2 linked regions of the Tamandua tetradactyla genome follow. The protein of the gene in region 2 purifies or fractionates together with the protein of the main gene of each other region. This does not show direct contact. Links are inferred from orthologs where the notes say so. Each region holds a gene or a part of one and is shown on either strand. Other genes may lie near its edges.

Region 1 (7,237 bases), on a different chromosome or scaffold from region 2:
TTTTAACAAATGAACATGATTACTAAATCATTAAATTGATATTTTAGTCTCCAGTATTTTAGAGCAGCTAGAAGTAAAAACCTAAAATTGAGGAACCGTAACCCATACCAAAACTCTGAAATCTGTTCTACAACTAATTGTGGTGCTGTGCTTTGAAATTTATTGCTTTTTTGTATACGTCATTTTTCATAAAAAAGAAAAAATGTCGATTGTAATGATAAAAAGTATTTATTCCTTCTAGCCTTCTATATTCTGGAATAGCTAGAAGGAAAAATCTGGGAGAATGGTATGGCAGCCCATGACAAACTCTGGGATCTGTCCTGTAACAATTGGTTGAACAGTGCTTTGAAAACTATTGCTTCTTTCTTTCTTTGCTTTGTATATATGTTATATTGTACAATAAAAAAGTTTAAAAAAAAAAAAAGAACAACCTTGAGAATTCAATGGACCACAGGCTTAATCTAAATTAATAGTTTAACAAGACTGCTGAAAGAGAAAAGAAAAAGAATCCTGTCTTCCATTGCATTAATAGATTCACATCAAAGACAAGCCCAGCAAATCTCACTCTCATTGATTATATGGAATTTCGAACATTTAGACATAAGAGGATACTGATGAAGTAAAATGGATTCACAGGAAAACAACGAAGCCACTGTGAGTCTGAAGACAAGCTGAAGTAAATAAATTCATATGCCAAGTATTCCCGGTGTCCGGCTATACAAAAAATACAAAACAAACAAAAAAAACCAGCATGTACTTTTCTGACTCTCATTATAACAGACTTTTTGTCATTAAATACATCAGGTGCTCTTTGAGACACTGTTTTCTGGGGAACACTGTATCAACTGACACTCGCACCATTACTGTAGGAGCATTCTATCTGCCCCATATTTTCATCCATACTTGTTATATTCTTTTGAATTTTAGTCATTCTAGTACGTGTGTAGTGGTGTTGCAATGTGTTTTTTAATTTGTAATTGCCTGGTGGCTAATGATGTTGAGTATTGTTTCACATTTATTTGCTTTTTGGATCTCCTCTTTTGTCATCCTCAGTTATGTACAATAAACATTAATAAATCAAAACTATTGAAATTGCCTACACTCTTCACTCAATAACCACCACAGAATAGTTTGAAGAAATGTTTCTTCCTTTCTTCTATAATTTTTATTTTTCATAGAATTATAATTGCCTCATTTTTCTCATTCATTTTTTTCAAATAACCAAACAATATAATTTCTCAAAAAACTCAAAATTAGCCTATAAAGTCAATTATTTTAAATAAATCTAGCAAAAAAGTACAAGTCTATACTCTGAAAACTACAAAATGTTGCTGAAACAAATTAAAGAACACAAAAATAAATGAAAAGCATAACATCTTCATGGATTAGAAAACCTAACATTGCTAAAACAGCAATGCTCCTCAAATTAATCTACAGACTCCATACAATCACTATCAGAATCCCAGCTGATTTCTTTGTAGAAACTGACAAGCTGATTTTAAAATTCATGTGGAATTGCAAAGGACCCAGAATAGCCAAAACAATTTTGAAAAAGAAGAACAAGGTAAGAGGACTCACACTTCCCAATTTCAAAATTTACTACAAAGCAACAGTAATCAAGAAAGTTTGGTACCGGGCGGGCCGCGGTGGCTCAGCGGGCAAAGTGCTTGCCTGCTATGCCGGAGGACCTCGGTTCGATTCCCGGCCCCAGCCCATGTAACAAAAACAAAAAAACAAAATACAATAAAACAAGAAAATGTTTAAAGATGTTTCCCTTTCTTCCTTCCTTCCTTCCTTCTCTCTGTCTTTCCTTTAAAAAAAAAAAAAAGAAAGTTTGGTACCGGCATAAGAACAGAGATATAGATCAATGGAATATAATTGAGAGTCCATAAATACACCCATACATCTATTGTCACTGATTTTTCAAGAAGGATGCCAGGACCATTCAATGAGGAAAGAATTGTCTTTAAAACAAATAGTGTTGGGCAGGCCACAGTGGCTCAGCAGGCAGAATTCTTGCCTGCCATGCCAGAGACTAGGGTTCGATTCCCAGTGCCTGCTCAGGCAAAAAAAAAAAAAAAAAAAAAAAGTACTGGATAAACTGGATAGCCATAGGCAAAAGAATGAAATGGGACCCTTTCCTCATACCACATATAAAAATTTACTCAAGATTGGTCAAAGAACTAAAGATAAGAACTACAACTGCTAAACTCTTACAAGAAAACACAGAGTTAAGTCTTCCTGATATTAGCTTTTGCAGAGATTCTTAGATGTGACATAATAAGAACAAACAGCAAAAGAAAAAATAGGTAAACTGAACTTTGTGAATATCTGAAACTTTTGTGCTTCAAGAAAGTGAAAAGAAACCCACATTATGGGAGAAAGTATTGGCAAATTATGTATCTGATAAGGTTTTTGATATTTGGCATGTATAAAGAACTCTTACAACGAAAAAAATTAAAAGATAAATAACCTAATTTTAAAACAGGCAAAGGATCTGAATAGACACTTCTTCAAGGAAAATACACAAATGGCCAACAAACACACGCAGAGATGCTCAAGATCAGGGAAATGTAAGCCATGACCATGAGATATCATACCACACCCGCTAGGATGGCTAATAGAATAGAAAAGTCAGAGAACATGTTAGCAAGGCAATGGAGAATTTGGAAGCCTCAGACAGTACTGGTGGGAATGTAAAATGGTGCATTTACTTTGGAAAAGAGTCTGTCAATTCCTAAAATGGTTAAACGTAGAATTAAATGACCAGCAATTCCACCCTTAGGTATATATCCAAAAGAAACGAAAAACCTGGTTCACAAATGCTTAGCGCAGCATTATTCAAGTCAAGATAGAAACAACAAAAATGGCCATTATCAATGACAAACAAATTGATAAACAAAATCTGGTATATCCATACAATGGAATATTATTTGGCCACAAAAAGGAATGAAGTACCAATACATGACACATATTGGCTGAATATCGCAAACCCTATCCTAAGAAACCATTCACAAAATCCCATTTATTATCTGATTTCTTTCATATAAAAGTACAGAACAGTGAAATCAGAGACAGAAAGCAGATTAGTGGTTGCTTAGGGAAGTAATAGCTAAAGGGCATGGTTTTGTTTGGTTTTTTTTTGGAAGTGATGAAAATGTTCTAAAATTGACTGTAGTGATGGTTGCAAATATCTGCGAATTTACTAAAAATCACCGAATTATACAGTTTAAATGGATGACTTGTATGATATGTGAATTATATCTCAAAAATTGTTTCAAAAAATACAGAAGCAGTGATTTTCTGTAGGCAGAATTCCTCCATTTAAGTCAGGCATTCCTTAGTATCGTTGCCTTAAAATTCATTAAATACTTAGTGTGGACTTGTTATGGAATATAATGTTTGCATTCATACTCTATGCAACTACACAATAGTCACCTAAGTAGAAAGATGTTTGTCAAGAAGGGTGGAAAGACAGATTTTGTTGCTGTTGTTGTTGGCATTAAGGACTGCGTGCATTTCTCCCAGATCTGTAGGAAATAAATCCTTGCAGTCTTACCTGGAATCAGAGGCAAGGGCTCTTTCAGGGTCATTTTCAGTATCTCTCTATATAGTTATGGAAATTAGGGAGGAGAAGGAAGGCAGATTCCTAGTACAGGAGCATATAACTAGAGCTGAACCACTGAGCGTGCTGCACTCCTATAGGGTTTATCAACTACCTCTCACTCCTCAAGTAACTAGAAGTGAGGGAAGACGGGCGTCTAGTTCGGCAAATTTACCGTTACGGCCACGCCGGGCTCATTTTGTGTGGGGCCCTAGGAAACCACCAGGCGCCCAGAAGCGCTTTCTGCACAGGCGCAGAGTCGCCACGCGAACTCCGCTCGTCCTCCCCCTACACCTCCCCCTCCCCCTCCCCTTACCCCTACCCCCAGCCCCACCCGCTCCATCTCCATCTCCCGACTTTGGGCCGGAAGAAAATTCGCCGGGCTGGGAGGGTCCGCTCACCAATCGGACTTCAGCCAGCAGGCCGCTGAGAGGGACTTCCCCGAAAGGAAAATTTCCAAACCCGGGGCGGGGGAGTGGGGCGGGAGGAGAGAGAACATAAGAAGCGCCCCCGGGTCCCTCCCCGTCCCTCACTTCCCTGGCCCAGCCGCAGCCTCCCCGGATCTCCCGGGGCTCACGCGGGGCGGGAGTTTGCCCGGGAGGCCTGCCTCTCGCGGGCGCAGTGTCCGCCACTGACGTAGCCTGAGAAGTTTGGGGGGAGGAGCTCGGCGGCCCGGCCCGGGTGGCGGGGTGCGGCTGGGAGGAACCCGTCCCGGATAGGAAGCTTCTCCTTGGCAAGGCGCGGCGCTCCTGAGCTCAACACTGTTTCCAGAAAAGAAGCGTCCGCTCCAGCTCGGAAGAAGCAGCGGGCGGTGCAGGATCCGGCGTGAGCTGGAGAATGGGCGACCTTGTGACTTAGTGTTCGGAGTAGGAAGGCCCTCGCTTGCCTGGCGCAGGGGCGCTTCCCGGAGCCCGAGCGCTGGCGGAGAAGCCGCAGGAACGGCGGGGCCGAGCCGCGGCGGGCAAACCGGGAACCAGCCTTGGCCAGAGTGTCCGCGCCGCCGCAACCATGAACGGGGAGGCCATCTGCAGCGCCCTGCCCACCATCCCCTACCAGAAGCTCGCCGACCTGCGCTACCTGAGCCGCGGCGCCTCGGGCACCGTGTCGTCCGCCCGCCACTCGGACTGGCGCGTTCAGGTGGCAGTGAAGCACCTGCACATCCACACTCCGCTGCTCGACAGGTAGGGCGCCAGCGCGGTTCCCGGGCCGACCCCGAGACCAGCTGCACCCCTCTCCGCAGACGCCTGTCCGGGGCCAGCGGATTTTGGATCCCAAACGGCAGTGACCACTCCCCTCATCAACTCTTGGTTGTTCTGCAAGGCCTGGGGCTGGCGTGGTGGGGAGAGCGCGCTGGCTCTGCGGAGGCAGCAATTGGACTCTTACGCTCATCTCGTGTAGCCTCTGCCCTTTCTCTTCTGCCCTCCTTTCCTCCTCTTTTACTCTCCTAGGTTTCCTCTCTGCATTTACTAAAACCCAGCAATAACAGCCCAACTCTGAATGCCCTATTTATTGAAATTGATGTGTGTTTTTCGAGGGGGCGTGGTTGTGTTTGCTTTGGTTGTTTCTGTGTATGTGTGTGTGTGTTTAAGTGGTTCTAGAGCTGGGCTGTCCTCCAATACGTTGCTCGCAGTAAGCCACAGGCAATCTTTGAGCTCTTGAAATGCGGCGGTCCAAATTGAAATGTGTTGTAATTGTAGAATATACACCGGATTTTGAAGACTTACTATGAAAAAAAACCATCAAATATTTCTGTATTTCATATGTTACGTGCTGAATGGTAACTTTATCCAAATTCATTTTTCCTGTTTCCTTTTACTTTTTACAATGCTACTGCTAGAAATGACATATATGGCCCCCCTTGTATTTCTATTGGACAGCGCTCCACTACAGTCTGAGATATTTTAGAGGTTTGAACTTTTTGTTGTTTTTGTTTTGTTCGTGGTCGTGAAAGTTTAAATATCAAAACCACACCCAAAGGAAATCTGTTTTATTTTTGCACTAACATAAGCTGAGGACTGTTAAATGGTCAAAGAAAATGCCTCTGGCGTCCTGGAAAAAAAAATAGTGCAGTGTATAGGTTTCAAGGGAAAGCTAGCATTGATTTCTCTTTCCAGGGAAACTGCTATCATACTTGCAGACCTGTGGCTGAATGTATTAGTTAGTGGGTCCAGTCACTAGTTTTGTGTTCTGTCCTTGCAATAGGGATTTAACTAGGTAGGCCCTGCACTAGTTAAAATTCCTAAGAGCAGCACTCTGTTCTTGACCTGTACCTAATTCAAAATACTTGGTACCAGATCCCTGATTGGATACAAGCAGTTAGTGTCCAATATCAGATCGAGTCCTCAGCTTTCAGCCTGCCAATGTTACTGGATTTTCACCTTCCTGTACCCTTTCTTTACGGCCTCTTACTATCAGGCTTGGGCGGGCTGTAGATTTGGGACGCTTCTGGAGATTGTCCCCCCTTTTTGTATGCCATCATCCCAGGACAGTGACATACAGGGTGTGGTGTCTGTTTACCCTGGGCCTGTAATTCTGTGGAGCAAGTGCTGAGCAAGTATGTGTGTGAAGTCAACTTTGAAGGGTGTTGGTTGGTCAGAGAGGGTGGATATATTTTAGAACCATCTATGCAAATGGAAATTTAGCACTGAGGGACCCATACGATATATATTTTTTAAATTTATTTATTTATTAATTTAAAAATTAAGAAGCCAAATAAAACATCAATGTATATAATCAGTAATTCACAATATCATCACTTAGTTGCATATTCATCATTTCTTAGAACATTTGCATTAATTCAGAAAAAGAAATAAAAAGACAATAGAAAAAGAAATAAAACAAACACAGGAAAGAAAAAAAAAAGATTGTACCTACCATACCCCTTATCCCTCACTTTCATTGATCACTAGCATTTCAAACTAAATTTATTTTAGCATTTGTTCCCCCTATTATTTATTTTTATTCCACCTATATGATATTTTAAAGCATGTTGGTCCTTCTCCCGTTTTGAATGCTGCTGCTGCATCTCAAGATTTTAATTTAAATTCTAAGCTTTGTGCCATTTGGAGGCAAAAGAGTGAAGGGGGAGGGAAAACATTCTCCCTCCATACTCATTACACAATTTTCATAGTCTAAAGGTCGCCTGTAGAATTGGGTAGGAAATTAATTCTGTCTTCAAAGAAGCCTCAAAAACAAGAGAAATGCATTGAACTTACTGTGGCATTGCCATACCTCCTTCTTTTGTACCATTTGTTACTTAAGATCTTAATATTAGCAGTATTTTTGTAGTCTGAGTTTAAGGTTGAGCCATGCAGTTGACTCACAAGGTGTCCATTTCCTCATTTATAAAGTGGGACTAATAAATACATGTACTTGGGCCCTGGCATGGATATTGGTTGAATTGTTCTTTTAGATCAACTGAATATAAAAAGATTTATGTTCATGATATATGTCCTTATTTTAGTGATTGGGGAATCATTCTTCATAACCTGCCTTCTACCAATGAGAAAACCTTTGCCAAAACCTCCCCACCCACAAGGAGTAGAGGAGTATGACTGGTTGTTCAGTTACTCTATACGCAGCATGACCATTTTTTGACTGAGGTTTTAAATTGGCTAATCTTGGTGATATGTC
Region 2 (7,677 bases):
CTTTAGTCTCACACATAAGGTGAGATTTTAAAATATTAATTACCATCTATTTTGAGCTCCCTGCAGTAATGACATTCCTTTGTTCTTCCTCATCTCTGCATTATTTCTAACAAGTGTATGTGAATTTATAATTACTTCAAAATGAGAAGTTTAATTAAAACCAAGCAAAAATGCTGAACTATTTTTAAAAAATAAAATGATGGAATCAGGAAACTATTAAAAATGACCAGAAAGAGAGCAAGACATCCAGCTTCTGAGCAGGGACCCTCGTGTTATGCAAGCTGAGAGAGTGGGTCCAAAGTGGATAATGTTGAGACGAGGAAGATTTGTTCAGAAGCGTGACCAGTGCCACACTGTGGAAAAGGGAGGCAAGCACAAGACTGGGCCAAATCTGCATGCTGTGTTTGGGTGGAAGACAGGTGAGGCCCCTGGATTCTCTTATAGAAACTCTAAGAAGGACAAAGGCACCACTGGGGGAGAGGAGACACTCATGAAGTATTTATAGAATCCCAAGAAGTACATCCCTAGAACAAAAATGATCTTCGCTGGCGTGAAGAAGAAGGCAGAGAGGACAGACTTGATAGCTTATCTAAAAAAAATCTAATGAGCAATAGTTGGCTACTATGTTATTTATTACAAAACAAATGTTTTGTGACTTTTTTTTACATGTACCATATTTAAATTGATCTCATAAACTAGAATTCATATCAAGAATGACTGATAGGAAATTTTTTGTTGGACAGTTGTGTTAAATAAGATTGGCTTATAATTAATGAATATGATCAAGCTTTTTGAATTTTTTACTTTTTAAAATTTTTATTGATAAAATTTAACATACAAATATTACATACATGGTGTACAATCAATGGTTCACAATATCATCACATAGTTGTGTATTCATCACCATGATCATAGTTTTGAACATTTGCATCACTCCAGAAAAAGAAAAAAGAAAAAACTCATACATACCATATCCTTGACCCCTCCCTCTCATAGACCATTAGCAATTCCCTCTACCCAACTTATTTTAACTTTCATTCCCCCTATTATTCGTTTATTTTTATCCATGTTTTTTACTCATCTGTCTATACCATAGATAAAAGGAGCATCAGACATAAAGTTTTCACAATCACACAGTCACATTGTAAAAGCTATACCATTATACAATCATCTTCAAGAAATAAGGCTACTAGAGCGCTACGGTTTCATATACTTTCCTCCAGCCACTCCCACACGCCATTAACTAAAAAGGGATATCTATGTAATATGTAATAATAACCTCCAGGATAACCTCTTGACTCTGAAATCTCTCAGCCACTGACAATTTATTTTGTCTCATTTCTCTCTTCCCACTTTTACTCAAGAAGGTTTTCTCAATCTCTTGATGTTGGGTCCCATCTCATCCCGGGATTTCTGTCCCACATTGCCAGGGAGATATACACCCCTGGGAGTCATGTCCCATGTAGGGGAGGGGAGAGGGCAGTGAGTTCACTTGCCATGTCGGCTTAGAGAGAGAGAGAGGCCACACCTGAGCAACGAAAGAGGTTCTCTTGGGGGTGATGCTTAGGCCTAATTTTAAGTAGGCTTAGCCTATCCTTTGCAGGAATAAGTTTCATAGGGATGAACCCCAAGATCGAGGGCGTGGCCTACTAATTTGGTTGTCCCCACTGCTTGCAAGAATATCAGAAATTCTCGAAATGGGGAAGTTGTATCTGCCCCTTTCTCCCCAGTTCTCCAAGGGGACTTTGCAAATACTTCTTTATTCACTGTCCAAATCTCTCTGGTATTTATTGGATCATCACACTAACCTGGACAAATCAACACAATCTCATGCCCTATTCAAGATTCCATGTACTTATGGTGTTCAACTAAATTGACCATACAAGTTAAATTCAGAAATGCACTACCCAAAATATAAATTTTGCACCAAATAAACATCTTCCCCTTTAGTCTCACACAGAAGTTGAAGTTTTACAGATTCGATGTCTCATCACCTTTACAACTTTTAAACAACTTTTTTATGTCAGACTAGTGACTTTCATAAGCTTTTTGAATTTTCATAATAATTCTTATTCAGCAAGTGCTATCACTATTTTCCCCTTCTAAAGATATAATTGGACTTGAGACTGGGTTGAATTAGTAATATTCAACTTTTCACAAAGATAATAAATGCCAACTCAGCCTATAGGAGATTGATTTTTTATTTTATTTTTTTGTATGCTGAATGGCGGGGGCACATTTCATTCTTTTTCCATGTGAGTAGCCCATTGTTTCAGCACCATTTGTTGAATTTTGTTTGTCTCTTTGTTTTGTTTGTTTGAGAAGTGCATGGTCTGGGAATTGAAACTGCTTCTCCCACATGGCAGGCGAGAATTCTACCACTGAACTACTAGGAGATTGGTGTTATATTTAGATTTATATAACTGTTTTTATGAATATACTTAAGCACTAAGGAAATCCCTTCGTTGTCTCATAGAACAGAGCAAAACTCACCTGTATTTCAGTTGGTGTTCATCAGCCTATTTAAAGGCAGGGGCTGAAAATAAGCTATGTCCGCTGTATCTTCTCAGTCTTTGCTGTGTCAATCTAATTAACATTCCCCATATCTGAAATGCCTTTTAATCAACAAAAGGCATATTGGAGTAGTTTCTACATAACACCAAATAAAGAGTACTGAACACGTCTCACCTTTAAAAACTTGATTCGGAAAACTAGAAACAGAACCAAGAAAACTCTTAGAAAGTAAATACATAATTTTGAAATTAAGAAGCTAAAGGAAAGGTGTATTGGTTTCTTTTGTCTTTTTTTTTTTTTGTATTGGTTTATTATTGCTGCTGTAAGAAGTTACCACAAATTTAATGACAAAACAACACATTTATTATCTTACAGTTCTGCAAGACAGAAGTCTGAAATGGATTTCGCTAGGGCTGAAATCAAAATGTCATGAGGGCTGCCTTGGGGGAGAATGCATTCACTTGCCTTTCCCAACTTTGAGAGGCAACTGCCACTTTTTGGCCCCTTCCTCCAACTCTAAAGCCAACCGTGTTGGCAGAGCCCTTCCCAGGCTGCCATCTCTGGGGTTCTCGTCTTCTGTCTCCCTCTTTCACTTCTAAGGACCCTTGTGACTATGTTGATCCCACCTGGATAACCTAGGGTAAATTCCCCATCTCAAGGTCAGCTGATTAGTGACCTTAATTCCCCTTTGCAGTGTAACCTAAATAGTCACAGGTTCCACCATTAGGGCATGAACATCTAGGGCTAAGGGGACATTGTCCTGCCTACCTCAGATGGGTTAAACAGAAGATTAAAACCTCTACAAAATAATTGATGAATTGAAAGGTAGAACTGAAGAAACTACTCCAAGGAAAACATGAGAGCTCAAAAGACATGGAGGACAAAATTCAGAATCCTAGAAGAGAAAAGGTTCATATAAGGGTAAATGGGAGGACTTTGTATCTCAGATTCTCCAATTTATTGCTTACAAGTTAACACATTGTATCACAACAATGTTATGTTTGCAAAGTTTCACTTTTGAGTCATGGTCAAACTTTCATTTTCTCAGAAAGCAGCTTTTGATGGGAATTTTAGTATTCATGACTATATGTCGTAATATGATTGAATGTACTTTCTTAGTGTGCTAAGTAAGTTAACTTTTTTAAATGCAATTTTCTGAGATATATTCACACAGCATAGAAACTACCCAAAGTGTACAATCACTGACTTGCAGTATCATCACATGGTGGTGCATACAGCCCCATGATCAAATTAAGAACATTTTCATTACTCCTGAAAAGAAATTAAAACAAAAAAGAAAACCCAGCACATCCCATCCTCCTTATCCCCCATATTATTGACCCACAGTGTTGGTGAGGTACATTTGTTCCTGTTGGTTAAAAAGTATTAAAATATTACAGTTAACTATAGTCCACAATTTGCGATAGGTACACTTTTCCCTATATAACTACTAACTCCTTACAATAGCAACTTAACTTTCTAATAGCATCAGTATGTTTTATGTAGACCTTTCCCATTTAAAACCTTAAAAAGAACTGTATTGAGAAGTCTATTAGCACGTTAAAAAGTTCCTTTACGAGTCATTACAGCATAACATACAGAATATAAAACGAACACTGTCTAGAACAGATGTGAGAGGAAGAAAATCTTAGATTTGTAAAAAGTATAAACTGAAGCATATGCTCTGTAGTAAAAAGTTTGATCAATTTCAGCTCGTTTTCACCCGGGAGCATGCGTTGGCCTTTTGACAAGTGCTGTCACGCCCAGGCGTCGGCTTTGGTCGCCGGTGCTGGGTCTGCACTGTTGAGGGGCCCGGCCTGAGCTGACCGCGCGGCGCCGTTCGCCCTGGGCCTCTGGCAGCGGGTGCCCTGTGGGGCCGCCACAGGCTGCTTTCCGCGCGCACGCCGCTTCCCACACCCGGCCTCAGCAGTCCTAGCAACCGCCTCGGGGCCTCTCTCCGCGGCTCGCTGGGGCTCCGGGAGGGACGCGGCCGCTGCTGCCCTCCCGACCAGTTCCCGTTCCGGGCCGGGGAGGCAGCCGCTCAGGCCCTGCCCTTGGCGCAGCTGCGGGCTCGGCGTGGTGCCCAACCACGGTGCTCTGCGGCCACTGCGTTCCCCGGCGCCGCGCTCCCGGGCCCCGGGGTGCTCCTCCCCTGGTGCGCTCCCCGGCGCTCCCGCTTCCAGGTGCTGGTGGCCTGGAAACTGGCGGCCAAAGTAAGTCCCAGCGACTGGGGGTTCGCGCGTGGGGGTTCGCGCGGAGCCGACGCTTCCTGGGGTTGCGGGCGCTGCGAGTGAGGAGGCGCAGGGGGCTGGGGTCCGGGATGCCGCGAGCGGGCGGAGCGCGACTCTGCTCAGGAAGAGCTTGGGTGGGACACCGCAGAGAGACCGCGGAGTTCGAGGAATGAATGCAGTGGAAGTTCAGAGGGATGAACTTCAGCGCCAGCGGAATCTCTCCACTCTTGTTGAAGGTACGGGCTCTCAATCCTGGCTGCCCCGCCGTAGGATCACCTGGGGCGTATCCTAGACCAATTCCATCAGAATTTCTGCGGTGGGACCCAGATCCCTATATATCTTGCTGCTGTTTCCTCTGTGCAGCCAGGGTTGAGAACCATTGATTAAAGGGGGACCGCCAAAAGAAGGTGGAAAGACGGGGCCGGGGGCTGCCACGCAACGGGCACTCCCAGAGTTCTTCTTTGTCCTGAGAAGTGGAGGGTGGACTTCCCTCCGGCTTCGTAACCGCAGGGAAGGGGAATGAAGCGGTGCTTCGCGGGGTCCCTTGACTGTCGTGTTAAAAGAGCCTTGAGTGTGCCCAGTCTTTTGGAACATCCGCCAGGATAGACGAATTACAATGCCACGTTCTGCATTCTGAGAAATTCCTCTGTCAGGTTCTGAAATTAAGTCGGGAGAAGCCAGGAAACCCGTGGCCTTGTGTTCTATTTCAAGGCTGAAGCCAGGTGGGCGTGCCAGAGCTGGGTTTATCCCTCCTAAAAGCCTTCCGATTAAGATTTCCAGTGTCCAGGGCACAGAACTCTACCATGGACGCTAGAGAGGAGTGCATTCCACAGGATGGCCGTGCCTCCTACTGTCCTCACTAGAGGTAGACGCTGTGCAGGAAGCTGCAATCTGGGCAAGCAGGGCCTCTGGACCATGGACAGATTTCTGCTGCATGTGCCTGGCAGGGAAGAAAAGTAGATTTGAGGCAGCAGCAGAACGGTAGGAGAAGAGGGAACTTTCAAAGGGCCTAAGAAGAGTAGGTTTTATTTTTGTGGAATGGAGAAATAAATTCAAGCTTTGGAGCCTATCAAATCTGGGCCTAAATTCAGACTGTCACTTCTGTGGTAAGTGACTTGACCTTTTTGAACCCTGTTTTCTTACCTGCAAAATGGGAATGAAAATAGTAACTTTCTCTTGGGGCTTAGATAGTTAAAGAGAATGTATCAAATGGCTGGGAGATGGGAGGTGCTCCAGCACAGGTAGTTATCAGCCATACTGTGGGTGATGAGTGTCCAACAGTTGTTTATTTAGCCCGCTGCTCTGAGGGAGAGTGCAGTCGGAGCTCCACCCATGCCCCTCTCCTGCCCTGCTGCCCCTGCTCAGGGGAGGGTTCCATGGTTCCTACCCCTTACTTTTTAGTGCTTTGAGGTCTGGGATCTCAGACCACAGCCTTCTTCTTTTCTCTGATGAATGGCTCTAGAATATAGTTTCACCCCATGTGACAGGAATGGATTTCTTGACGAAAGAAATTTGTATTAATAAAAGATGGGTCCCAGGAAAGCTGGATTGTCTTTAGGGCCTCAGAGACAATGTGGGCACACACACGGGTCTCTTGTGGGTGGCACCCTGAGACCACGCCCCTGCCATCCCTGCTTTGCTCTCCTGGGAGCGGTGAGAAGGTCCTTCTGCAATGAGCAAGGACAGTCGGGGACCTAGGGCTGGGGGAGCCCACATCCTGCAGTTGCTGATGCCGCCTCCCAGCTGAACCGCTCACCCTGGTACCCGTTCTGCGGTCACTGATGGTCAATAAGAACTGCTCTTTTTTTTTGCTCAGTCATTTTGATAGTAATAGCAGCACTGTTTAGCTTAGACATATATAAACAGTGAGGTAATGTTGGCATCAAGATCAAGTGTTTTTACAATGATATTTGCTCAAATGAGAATATCCAGGTCTTGTCTCTTATCAGCAAAAAGCGTTTCAGTATTTGTTCAAAATCCAAGACAAATCTAGAATTTGAAGTTTGTTATTAGGTCCTTCCATGATATTTTTTTGTGGGGGGTAGAGGTGGGTTGGGTGGATTTTAGGCAAGATGAAGGAACTGGAAAAGCTCAAATCTGCAGTTGTGCTGAATTTGTTTCATTCAGAAGCTGTCGGTATTTCCCAAGTTTGGGGAGGTACTGTTTTATCCCCCCAAGTTTTCAGAAACCCTGTTTTCTTTTATGTTTTGGAGAAAGACATTTGTATGTCACACAAAGGGCCTCCTTTCATCCTACCACAAAGGCCTCAACTTGTTTCTAGGAAACTCTTCAAATGCTCATTGAGGGCGTCTCTTCCAAACCCTGACTCCTTTGTTAAGAGGTAAGTAGTTGCTTGCCATTTGAATTAATTGGTGGTTTGTACTCAGTGCTAGAAAGTTTGTCAAAGCAAGACTTCTTGGCTTGAATTCTTGTTGAAGCATGTGTTTTCACTAGAACAGCAACAGGTTAACCTGTGGGCAGAGACGGCAGTGCAGGAATGGTCAAAGCAAGCTTGCCCCACCCCCACCCCCACCCCTACCCTTCGCCACCCTTCCAGCCTGGGAACCCTGGAATCAGCTTACCCAAAGGGCTGGGGGTGCTGTCCCTTTGAGGGGATATTACCTTGACCCTCTGATGGGGCAGGGTTCCCTAGCAAATAATGTCCATCTTTTACGCCAGCAAGGCAATTTTCATTGTCTTAAACTTTGTTAAAATCACTAGGTTACTCTTGTGTAAACCACCTCTTTGCAATTTATTTTGCCTACTAGACCTCTTCCTGTAAGTTATAGAAAGCTGTAGTTTAAGGGACTAAAAATGTAGCTCAGTGCAAGGGTCTAGGTAATTGCCAAGTTAGTACCAGGTTTGGGTAGATTGATATTTAATAAAACATAAAAATGCTCCGTACTTATGGGTTTGTTTCAGAATATCGATA

What was found. The genes of interacting proteins can lie anywhere in the genome.
Region 1: the proteins of NOD1 (region 2) and RIPK2 purify together in Homo sapiens (affinity purification with western blotting; 4 studies listed by BioGRID and IntAct, with this or other methods). This does not show direct contact. The link is inferred for Tamandua tetradactyla from reciprocal best matches to the Homo sapiens genes NOD1 and RIPK2.

Annotation. Positions count from the first base shown.
Region 1 is NC_135332.1:133,084,799-133,092,035, forward strand, and holds the start of RIPK2 (receptor-interacting serine/threonine-protein kinase 2), read left to right. Parts: upstream 1-4,145; 5' UTR 4,146-4,612; coding exon 4,613-4,785; intron 4,786-7,237.
Region 2 is NC_135327.1:92,674,757-92,682,433, forward strand, and holds the start of NOD1 (nucleotide-binding oligomerization domain-containing protein 1), read left to right. Parts: upstream 1-4,626; 5' UTR 4,627-4,981; intron 4,982-5,006; exon of another isoform or gene 5,007-5,851; intron 5,852-7,026; exon of another isoform or gene 7,027-7,086; intron 7,087-7,677. UniProt on the Homo sapiens protein: Pattern recognition receptor (PRR) that detects bacterial peptidoglycan fragments and other danger signals and thus participates in both innate and adaptive immune responses.